2 linked regions of the Macaca mulatta genome follow. The protein of the gene in region 2 interacts with the protein of the main gene of each other region in a pairwise test. Links are inferred from orthologs where the notes say so. Each region holds a gene or a part of one and is shown on either strand. Other genes may lie near its edges. The genes, in order: POLL and FAM9B.

The links.
Region 1: the proteins of FAM9B (region 2) and POLL interact in binary tests that used the Homo sapiens proteins (3 or more experiments, as listed by UniProt). The two-hybrid records come from large-scale screens. The link is inferred for Macaca mulatta from reciprocal best matches to the Homo sapiens genes FAM9B and POLL.

What each region holds. Positions count from the first base shown.
Region 1 is NC_133414.1:113,660,634-113,664,864, reverse strand, and holds the start of POLL (DNA polymerase lambda), read left to right. Parts: upstream 1-1,431; 5' UTR 1,432-1,468; coding exon 1,469-1,583; intron 1,584-1,628; exon of another isoform or gene 1,629-1,707; intron 1,708-2,677; coding exon 2,678-2,972; intron 2,973-3,355; coding exon 3,356-3,518; intron 3,519-3,914; coding exon 3,915-4,231. Other genes in the region: protein DPCD, read right to left, coding at 436-499.
Region 2 is NC_133426.1:8,568,531-8,573,196, forward strand, and holds the start of FAM9B (protein FAM9B), read right to left. Parts: upstream 3,039-4,666; 5' UTR 2,772-3,038; intron 2,015-2,771; 5' UTR 1,926-2,014; coding exon 1,898-1,925; intron 1,398-1,897; coding exon 1,277-1,397; intron 1,098-1,276; coding exon 1,066-1,097; intron 1-1,065. UniProt on the Homo sapiens protein: May play a role in meiosis.

The sequences.
Region 1 (4,231 bases), on a different chromosome or scaffold from region 2:
AGTAAAGGTGCCGACTGGAGAGCCCGTGGTGAATTAATGGCACAGTCGGAACTAGAGCCCAGGCCTCTCTCCTCTCTAAAGTCCAAAACATTCTTGGATTTCAGTTTCCTCTTCTGTAAAACGGGGTGGAAAATTAGCCTCTCAGGACAGTGGTGAGGAGCAAATGAGATAACGAATGTAAAAGAAATTACTATATTAGCAACAGAACTCAGAGCGGGGCGAGATGGTGTAGAGAAATTTAAGGGGTGTCCGGAGACATGTGTTCTGGTCATGTCATCTCTGTGAGCCTTAGTCTCCTCATCCGCAAATGCAGGACCTGGCCCGGCTGACCACCGAGACCCTTCCAGCTCTGCCGACCCAGGCCCTGAGGCCCTTCCCGGAGGGCCGGACCCTGGGGGAAAAAAACGAAGGAGCTCGCGGGGACCCTCGAGTTACCGTCCTGCAGCAGTGCAGTCTTCTGGGCTGTCCGCAGACTCTCCAACCAGCCCGTCACCGCCATCTTTCCTGTGCTAAGCAGCCCGCCCGGCCGCTGCCATGGCAACCGTTCCACTGAAGGTCACTTCCGGCTGACTCGGAAGCTATTCTGGGCATTTGCCCTCCTTCCCCCCTTCGTCCGTTCTCATTGGCTCTCCTGGTAAGTGGCCTACTCCTGCCCACCCTCGGGTGACCAACTTGGCCTGTTGTCGACCGCACCCGGGGACTGACTCTGGCGGTTGGAGAGAGACTCTTGGCGCCGGGGTTGGGCACTCCAACTCTCTACTAGCCCCGAGCTGGGATTCCCTGGCCTGCGCCAGCTGCGTACAGGGCGAGTACACCACACCTGCCTGGGTCTTCACCCCCAGCTGCGAGACTCCTCCATTCCCGGAGGGCTCCCCACACCTGCTGCGGCCGTGCCCCATCTCCCCGCAGCTGCGGCGCTGAGCATCCCCATGTCGAGAGGCTGAGACCAGGGCAGGTGCAGGGCGTTCCCACTCACCCGCGAAAGTCCGCCTCCTCAGGTTTTCCTCTGCAAGTCTGTGTTGGAGGTAGAAAAAGAGTATGTGGAGTTTATGTGCAGGTCCTCCCCAGTCTCCGCTCCATCCCCTAAAGCTCCATTTCCTAGCCCAGCATCCCATTTTGGTAAAGCCCTTCGAAGTGGGCCGCAGCAGGAGGGCTGTGCTGAATCTTTAGAGCAACCCCTTTGAGGAATGGGTATAGTTTCCTACTCCTTAAAAGTACCCCCGATGGCTCCAGCCTTCCCCTCATTTCCCCTAATACTCCAACTTTGAAAGACTGGGGAGTGTGAAGCTAGGCTAAAAAGCTAGTTTAACAGGGTTTGAAGAGATCCCCCCCAACCTCCCGCTTCCCCAAACTGGGCTGCTACCCCCTACCTCCATAGGCAAAGGGGTTGGAGATCCTTAATTCTGTATTTCCACCTGACAGCAGCCCTGACCAACCCTCCAACAGGCTGGGATGCAGCCGTACTTCAATGGATCCCAGGGGTATCTTGAAGGCGTTTCCCAAACGGAAGAAAATTCATGCTGATGCATCATCAAAAGTACTTGCAAAGATTCCCAGGAAGGAAGAGGGAGAAGAAGCAGAAGGTGAGATGACCCACTCTCAGAACCCTCATGCGCTTGAACCCTCAGCCTTCATGTGCTTCAGCCCTATGTTGTTCATGTCCAGAATCAGATATTGGAGCTGACTCTGCCTGTCCATGGACTGCAGGTCTGTTTGTATCTGCCTTGTACTAAGCTTGGTCCTGGGTCTTGGACAGGCCATTTGCTGTGTTATCTTCTTTTCTACCTGAACACCCCTATCAATTGGAAAAGACTCCCTGGACCCTCAGGGAATGACCAGTATAATTTTTGCCCTGGGGGACTGGGACAGAAACCCCCCTCCATTACCCAGGATTGTTGTTAGTTGTTTTGCAGCCAAATTGATAAATAAATAGCAGAGGCTTTGGAGGCAGGGTTGTCGGGTCTGTCAGAGTGTAAGGGCAAGAAATGTGCATTGTTGAAAGAATAAATGATAAAGGATTCAAAGTATGGAGAGAGGCTGGGCGCGGTGGCTCATGCCTGTAATCCCAGCACTTTGGGAGGCCAAGGCAGGCAGATCACCTGTGCTCAGGAGTTCGAGACCAGCCTGGGCAATGTGGCGAAACCCCGTCTCTACCAAAAATACAAAAAATTAGCCAGGCATGGTGGCACATGCCTGTAATCCCAGCTACTTGGGAGGCTGAGGCATGAGAATCGCTTGAGCCCGGGAGATGGAGGTTGCAGTGAGCCAAGATGACGCCACTGTACTCCAGCCTGGGCAACAGAGTGAGACTGTCTCCAAACAAACAAACGAAAAAAACAAAACAAAAACAAAGTAAGAAGGGAGGAGGCATTCATTCAGCAGATATTTACAGGTTACTTACAATGTGCCAGACACTTCTAGGTTGCACCAAGGAACAGGACGTATAAAAATCCTTGTCCCTTACTTTCAAGTACTGGCCTGTGAGAAAATTTGCTGTATATAGAAGGAAACCTGCCTGGATGGAAGACAAATGCTTATTTTCAGGGTAGGGGACTGTGAACATGTCATTCAGATCATGTTAGAAGTTGTATTCAGATCATGTTAGAAGTTGTGGCCAGGGGGTGGCAGATAAAATTAAAAAGTTATGACAGTAGTCATCTGGATGTTCCTTCCCCAGAGTGGCTGAGCTCCCTTCGGGCCCATGTTGTGCGCACTGGCATTGGACGAGCCCGGGCAGAACTCTTTGAGAAGCAGATTGTTCAGCATGGTGGCCAGTTATGCCCTGTCCAGGGCCCAGGTGTCACTCACATTGTGGTGGATGAAGGCATGGACTATGAGCGAGCCCTCCGCCTTCTCAGACTACCCCGGCTGCCCCCGGGTGCTCAGCTGGTGAAGTCAGCCTGGCTGAGCTTGTGCCTTCAGGAGAGGAGGCTGGTGGATGTAGCTGGATTCAGCATCTTCATCCCCAGTAGGTGGGCTGATCCCAGTCTTTTTTTCCAATGTTTTCTAGTAGCATCTTGAGCTCTCTTCTTGAATTATTAAAAATAACTGTCATTAATTTAAAAATTAGCCAGGCATGGTGGTATATGCCTGTAGTCCCAGCTATAAGAGGGTTAGGTGGGAGGATTGATTGAGCCAGGGAGGCTGAGGCTGCAGTGAGCCTTGATCATACCACTGTACTCCAGCCTGGGTGATAGAGCAAGACCCTATCTCAAGAGAAACTCCAAAAACCTCAAAAAACTCATTTTCTTAATTGGACACACTGGGAAACCAAGTATTTCAGAATACATTAGGACTGGGGACAGAAACAGGGTGAGACCTTTGGTGTCTTAACCTCCCATCACCATCCCCACAGGTACTTGGACCAGTCACAGCCCAGCAAGGCAGAGCAGGATGCTTCTCTTCCTCCTGGCACCCATGAGGCCCTGCTTCAGACAGCGCTTCCTCCTCCTCCTTCTCCCACCAGGCCTGTGTCTCCTCCCCAAAAGACAAAAGAGGCACCAAACACCCAAGCCCAGGTCAGGAGCCTTCCATCCCTCAGAGCTCCCTTCCCCTAGGAAGCAGATCACAGAAATGGGGAGGGCCTGATGACTGTTCAGAAAGTCCCAGTCCCCGGAGAGAGGAGGACCCCATTGTGAAGCCATATATCTCTTCCCAACACTCATCACTCCTGCATTCATCTAGGCCGTATCTAACACATACCACTGGGGATCCTAGGGGTAGGCACTGCGGTGAGCCAAAGGGAATGTGGCCCCACACCCGAGGTGATCCAAGTCTGATGCAGAAGGCCCCACCTCATTCTTAGGTCTGACTAGAAGACCCTCCCCCTGCACAAAGAAGATGACCCCCACCTTTAAGGATCCCTTCTCCTGGAGGACAAGAATTTATTGTTTTCTTTTCTTCTCTACCCCAAGCCCATCTCTGATGATGAAGCCAGCGATGGGGAAGAAACCCAGGTTAGCGCAGCTGATCTGGAAGCCCTCATCAGTGGCCACTACCCCGCCTCCCTTGAGGGAGATTGTGATCCTAGCCCAGCCCCTGTGGTCCTGGATAAGTGGGTCTGTGCACAGCCCTCAAGCCAGAAGGCGACCAACCACAACCTCCATATCACAGAGAAGCTGGAAGTTCTGGCCAAAGCCTACAGTGTTCAGGGAGACAAGTGGAGGGCCCTGGGCTATGCCAAGGCCATCAATGCTCTCAAGAGCTTCCATAAGCCTGTCACCTCGTACCA
Region 2 (4,666 bases):
CAGTTTTCAGCAATCATAAAAGATTTGTACCATAATGCAAATATTTTTTACATACAGTCTCCATCTATAACGCCCAATGTATTAGGCAGCTCACAAAACCAGCACTTTTTGTCACCAAGCAGAGCAAAGCTTTCCAAATATACTGCTTGTATGAATCATCGCTATCGAAAAGCTGAAAACTGAATTGAGCTTTTCAAAAGTAAGAGTATTGTCTCCATCATCTTTACAGAAATTTTCTCAAACTTTTTTGAAAATATGGTCCCTATAACAGTGCAACTAATATTTCACACAGCAATATAAAGTTTATGAGTTTTTGGATCCAATTACATGTTTCTCACTAGATAGAAAAGTTGTCCTTTTGTACTACACAGTTTATTACTGGAATAATAATGGAAAATGATTTTAGAGAATTCAATTTTCTCTTGTACTTCAAATAAAACAAAATCAGAAAGCTGTGACAATAGAATAGCTAAATTAAGAACATGAAAAACTCATATTAAAAACTCTGAGTACATATGGACAGGAAGAAGGGACCAACAGACAACTGGGCCTACTTGAGAGTGGAGGGTAGGAGGAGGGTGAGGATCAAAAACCACCCATCAGGTACTATGCTTATAACCTGGGTGACAAAATAATCTGTATACCAAAACCCTGTGACATGCAATTTATCTATATAACACACCTGCACATGTACCCCCAAACTTAAAGTGAAAGCTTAAAAAAAACCTGATATATGACTTAATCTGCGTACACTAAAAGGAACGAATAGAGCTGTTTCTCCTCCAATGTCCTCTAATATTCTCCAAACAATTAAATTTCCACGTGTATGAAAGAAAAGCCATCCATCTCGCTTCACCATTATTAGAAGCATTCTCACATTCCACATCAACAATCAAAGAGGTAAGAAAAATTTATCAAACAGATTACATTAAATACGTATGTTAAATGCTACATATGATAAGCCATTTAAGACAGTCTTGTCATCCACTGATTCATATAACTTACTGCAACAGTTGCATGATTGAAAACAATTTTCATAAACGACAGATAACTCCTAAAATATACCTGCAGTATCTTCTGGCTTCTTGGTATTAGCCCTGTAAAAAAAGTTACATCAAAATTTTAGCATAATACTACACAAAATGCCATGTTTGTTGGGAAAAGAAATGTCTTATGTGAAATGTTCTGCACAGAATAGAACAGTGATGACATGGTCCAAAGGTGACTTTTCCTAAAAGACCCTATCCCACAGGCAAAAGTGACTTAAACACTTTACCCCGTGTGCTCGTCTTTTTCAGCAAAAGGTTCTCTTTCCCCATGCTCATCAGTTACATCTTCCTCCCTTGTTTCTGTAAAAGGGTTTCTTTCCTCACATTCGTCACTGACTGGATCCTTTCCTGCATTAAAATTTAAAAGACAAACCTTTTTTAGAGGAAGACACTGTTGTGGACTTTTTTTGTGGAGAAATGTACTTGTTGTAGACTTTTTTTTTTTTTTTTTTTTTGGCTATCTGCCAATTAAGGCTTTAAAGCAGAGCTGTACATGGAATCACCGGCTTCTGACCATTTTATCAAGGCACTTTTGGAAGCCCTTCGGGTTCAAGTCCCAGTAAACAACATACTACACGTCAGACCCCTTGGATGTCATGACTGCACTCATGGAGAAGAGCTGCTCTGGGAGCATCTGTAACCCCGCTATGAGGGGAGCCTTTCACGGGAAGCCTAAGGCCCTTGAGCCTGCTTTGAAAACCTGGGGCATCTTAGCACGTGCACGATGGACTCCAAAGCCACGAAGGGGCCCGGGTCCTTGGGCTACCCCTGTGCCCCCAGCGCAGAAAGCAGACAGACCGTCCTCTTGGGCGTGCACTTTCTTCCGGGTCACCTTGGGCTGTATTTACCTGCACGCTCCTTCCCCTGGGCCGCCATAAATTGAGCCTCCAACTGGGCCTTGGCAGCCCTCCTGCCCACAGGATCCGTGGCTGGCTGTCCTGGGAAGCTACAGGTGATCCCTGAACCTGATGAGGGCAAAGGCACACTAAGGAAGCAAAGGAACCCTGGCATCGGAAAGGAAAGCCATTGGGATCACAGGTTCAAGAAGGGTGGGGCTGGCACGCCCTGGGTCTCCTGTGGGAGCAGGAGGGGACCGAAAAGATGCCAGTGTCCCCTCCTGTCCTGGCCCGTCCAGCCCGTCCAGCCCGTCCCCGGGGCTGGCTGCAGAGCTCACAGCTGCCCCTCACACCTGAACTCCACGGCGTCTGCGGGATCCTCGCCGCACCTTTGGGACAGAACTCAGCCCTACCTCTGGGTCCCCCAGCGACCCCGTGTGGCTGGGAGGGCCACCGGGTGACACAGGATCTCCCCAGCCACCTCCAGAGGAATGTCAGGGGCTGCACTGTCACTCACCCGCCTGGATGCACAGGGGACCCCTGATGACCCCAAGTGTCCTGTCCTGACGGGAGGCCGGGCAGGAGGGCCCCACTCAGACTGTCCCCAACAACACCCTCGCCCCACCCCCACTTCCCCCCACCTTCCGCACCTCCCCCCAACACATGCACAAGCCCTCCTGGGCCCTAGGGATCACCCAGGCGGCTCCAGCTCCCTCCCTGCCCTGGCCCACCCCAGCCCACCCTCAGGGCCTCGCCCTGACCCAGGCCCCAGGCGACCACGCCAGGGGCATTTCCTCACAGGTCAGCGGGCGGCCCAGCGCTTCACACCCTGGTTCCCAGAGGGCCTCGTGCCTGCGTTTCCGCCTCCCCACCGCGAGCGCTTCACCTGAGGGACCCCTGATGTGGCGCCCTCAAAGAACCTGCAGACAACAGCACCACTAGGATCTCTTAGAAAACGGGTCCTCTCAGGAGGCTGAGGCAGGATGATTGCTTGACCCCGGGAGGCGGAAGTTGCAGTGAGCCCAGATCGCGCGGCTGCACTGCAGCCTGGGCGGCAAGAGCCAGACTGTCTCAAAAAACAAAAAACAAAAAACAAAAAACAAAAAAGAAAACAAGTACTCAGTTCTCGTGAGAGCTGCCGACAGCACTTCCTACGCTCCTCGCAGATTGGTCGACTCAGTGCACATGCGTGTGACAGGCCGTGTGGGGCCACGCCCCCTGCTGGCACGCCCTCCCCCTTCCCCTAAGTGACAGCAAGTGGTTGCTGTGGACTGAGGTGGGGTTGGCCCTTTGGGGCCTCTGTTCCCACATTCTTTCAGCTTCTGCTCCTGGGGAGGGACACAGGACTTGGTATGGAGGCCAAGTGGACAGGGCCTAGAACCTCGCCCTGGGGCTCTTTCCAGCCACCCCTGCCCCTTTGGCTAGAATGGCCATCATCCTATGGGTTGGGCCCAGGCTCCCTCCCATGCCCTGTGTGCTTCCAACATGCCCAGCTGCATCCTTTTCAATCAATGGATTGTGCTTTTATCGTTTTTGTTTGTTTTTGAGACTGTGTCTCACTCTATCGCCTAGGCTGGAGTGCAGCAGGGTGATCTCAGCTCACTGCAACCTCGGCTTCCCGGGTTCAAGTGATTCTCCTGCCTCAGCCTCCCAAGGAGCTGGAATTACAGGAGCCCAACACCAAGCCCTGCTAATTTTTTTTTTTTTTTTTTTTAGTAGAGACGAGGTTTCACCATGTTGTCCAGGCTGGTGTCGGACTCCTGACCTCAGTTGATCTGCACGCCTTGGCCTCCCAAAGTGCTAGGATTACAGGCATGAGCCACCGTGCCCTGCCCATAACCATTTTTGTTTCCTCACTACTTTTCTTTCTCATCCTCATGCCCCAGACTTGCCCACAAACCCTCATGCTCCAGACTTATGCAGACATATGCCACAACCTTCACCCACAAATTAATGCCTTAATACTTATCGTTAACTCAGCTTTTTCCCACCTCCAGTCGCCTATAATAGGGGGAGAGTTGTTTTGGAGTTAGGAGTAAATAAATATTGCCTAAAGTTTGTAAATCAAGATATAGAGTTTCATTATATTATTGAAATTATATCCCAGCACTTTGGGAGGCTGAGACGGGCAGATCACAAGGTCAGGAGATCGAGACCATCCTGACTAACACGGTGAAACCCTGGCGACAGAGCGAGACTCCACCTCAAAAAAAAAGAAAAGAAAAGAAATTATAAAGGCAGTCATCAGGAAAACTAATCCACAGCCTTAAATGTCTATATAACCAAAAAGAGCACACACAAAGAACACAAATCCTGTAGTAAAAATTGAAAAATAAAGAAAATACTCCAGAGACCATAACATAAAGGAACAAAATTAAGGCCAAGTGAATCTGTTGAGCAAGAAATATGAATGAGATAAACTCAGAATCTAAAGGAAATGACTTCCAACTTGGATCAAAATAAAAATCTAAGTATATGCTGTATGTAAGAATGGAGCTAAAACAAAATGATACAAAAAATACATGTCAGACAAATATGAAGAAAAGGAAAATATGGATCTGGGAATTGATAGCTCGCAAATGTAAAATAATGCAAAAAATAAATGAATAAACTAAAGGCAGAGTATACAGAACAAGAGAAGGGCATGATCTACTCTGACAATCTGACAGAAATCATTTTGTGCTTAACACAGCATCAACATGCCTAAACCCAAAACCGTAGAAAATAAAAGTAAAACAACCAATGAAAATGAAGAGTGATATGGGAGTTTGAACTCTGTCT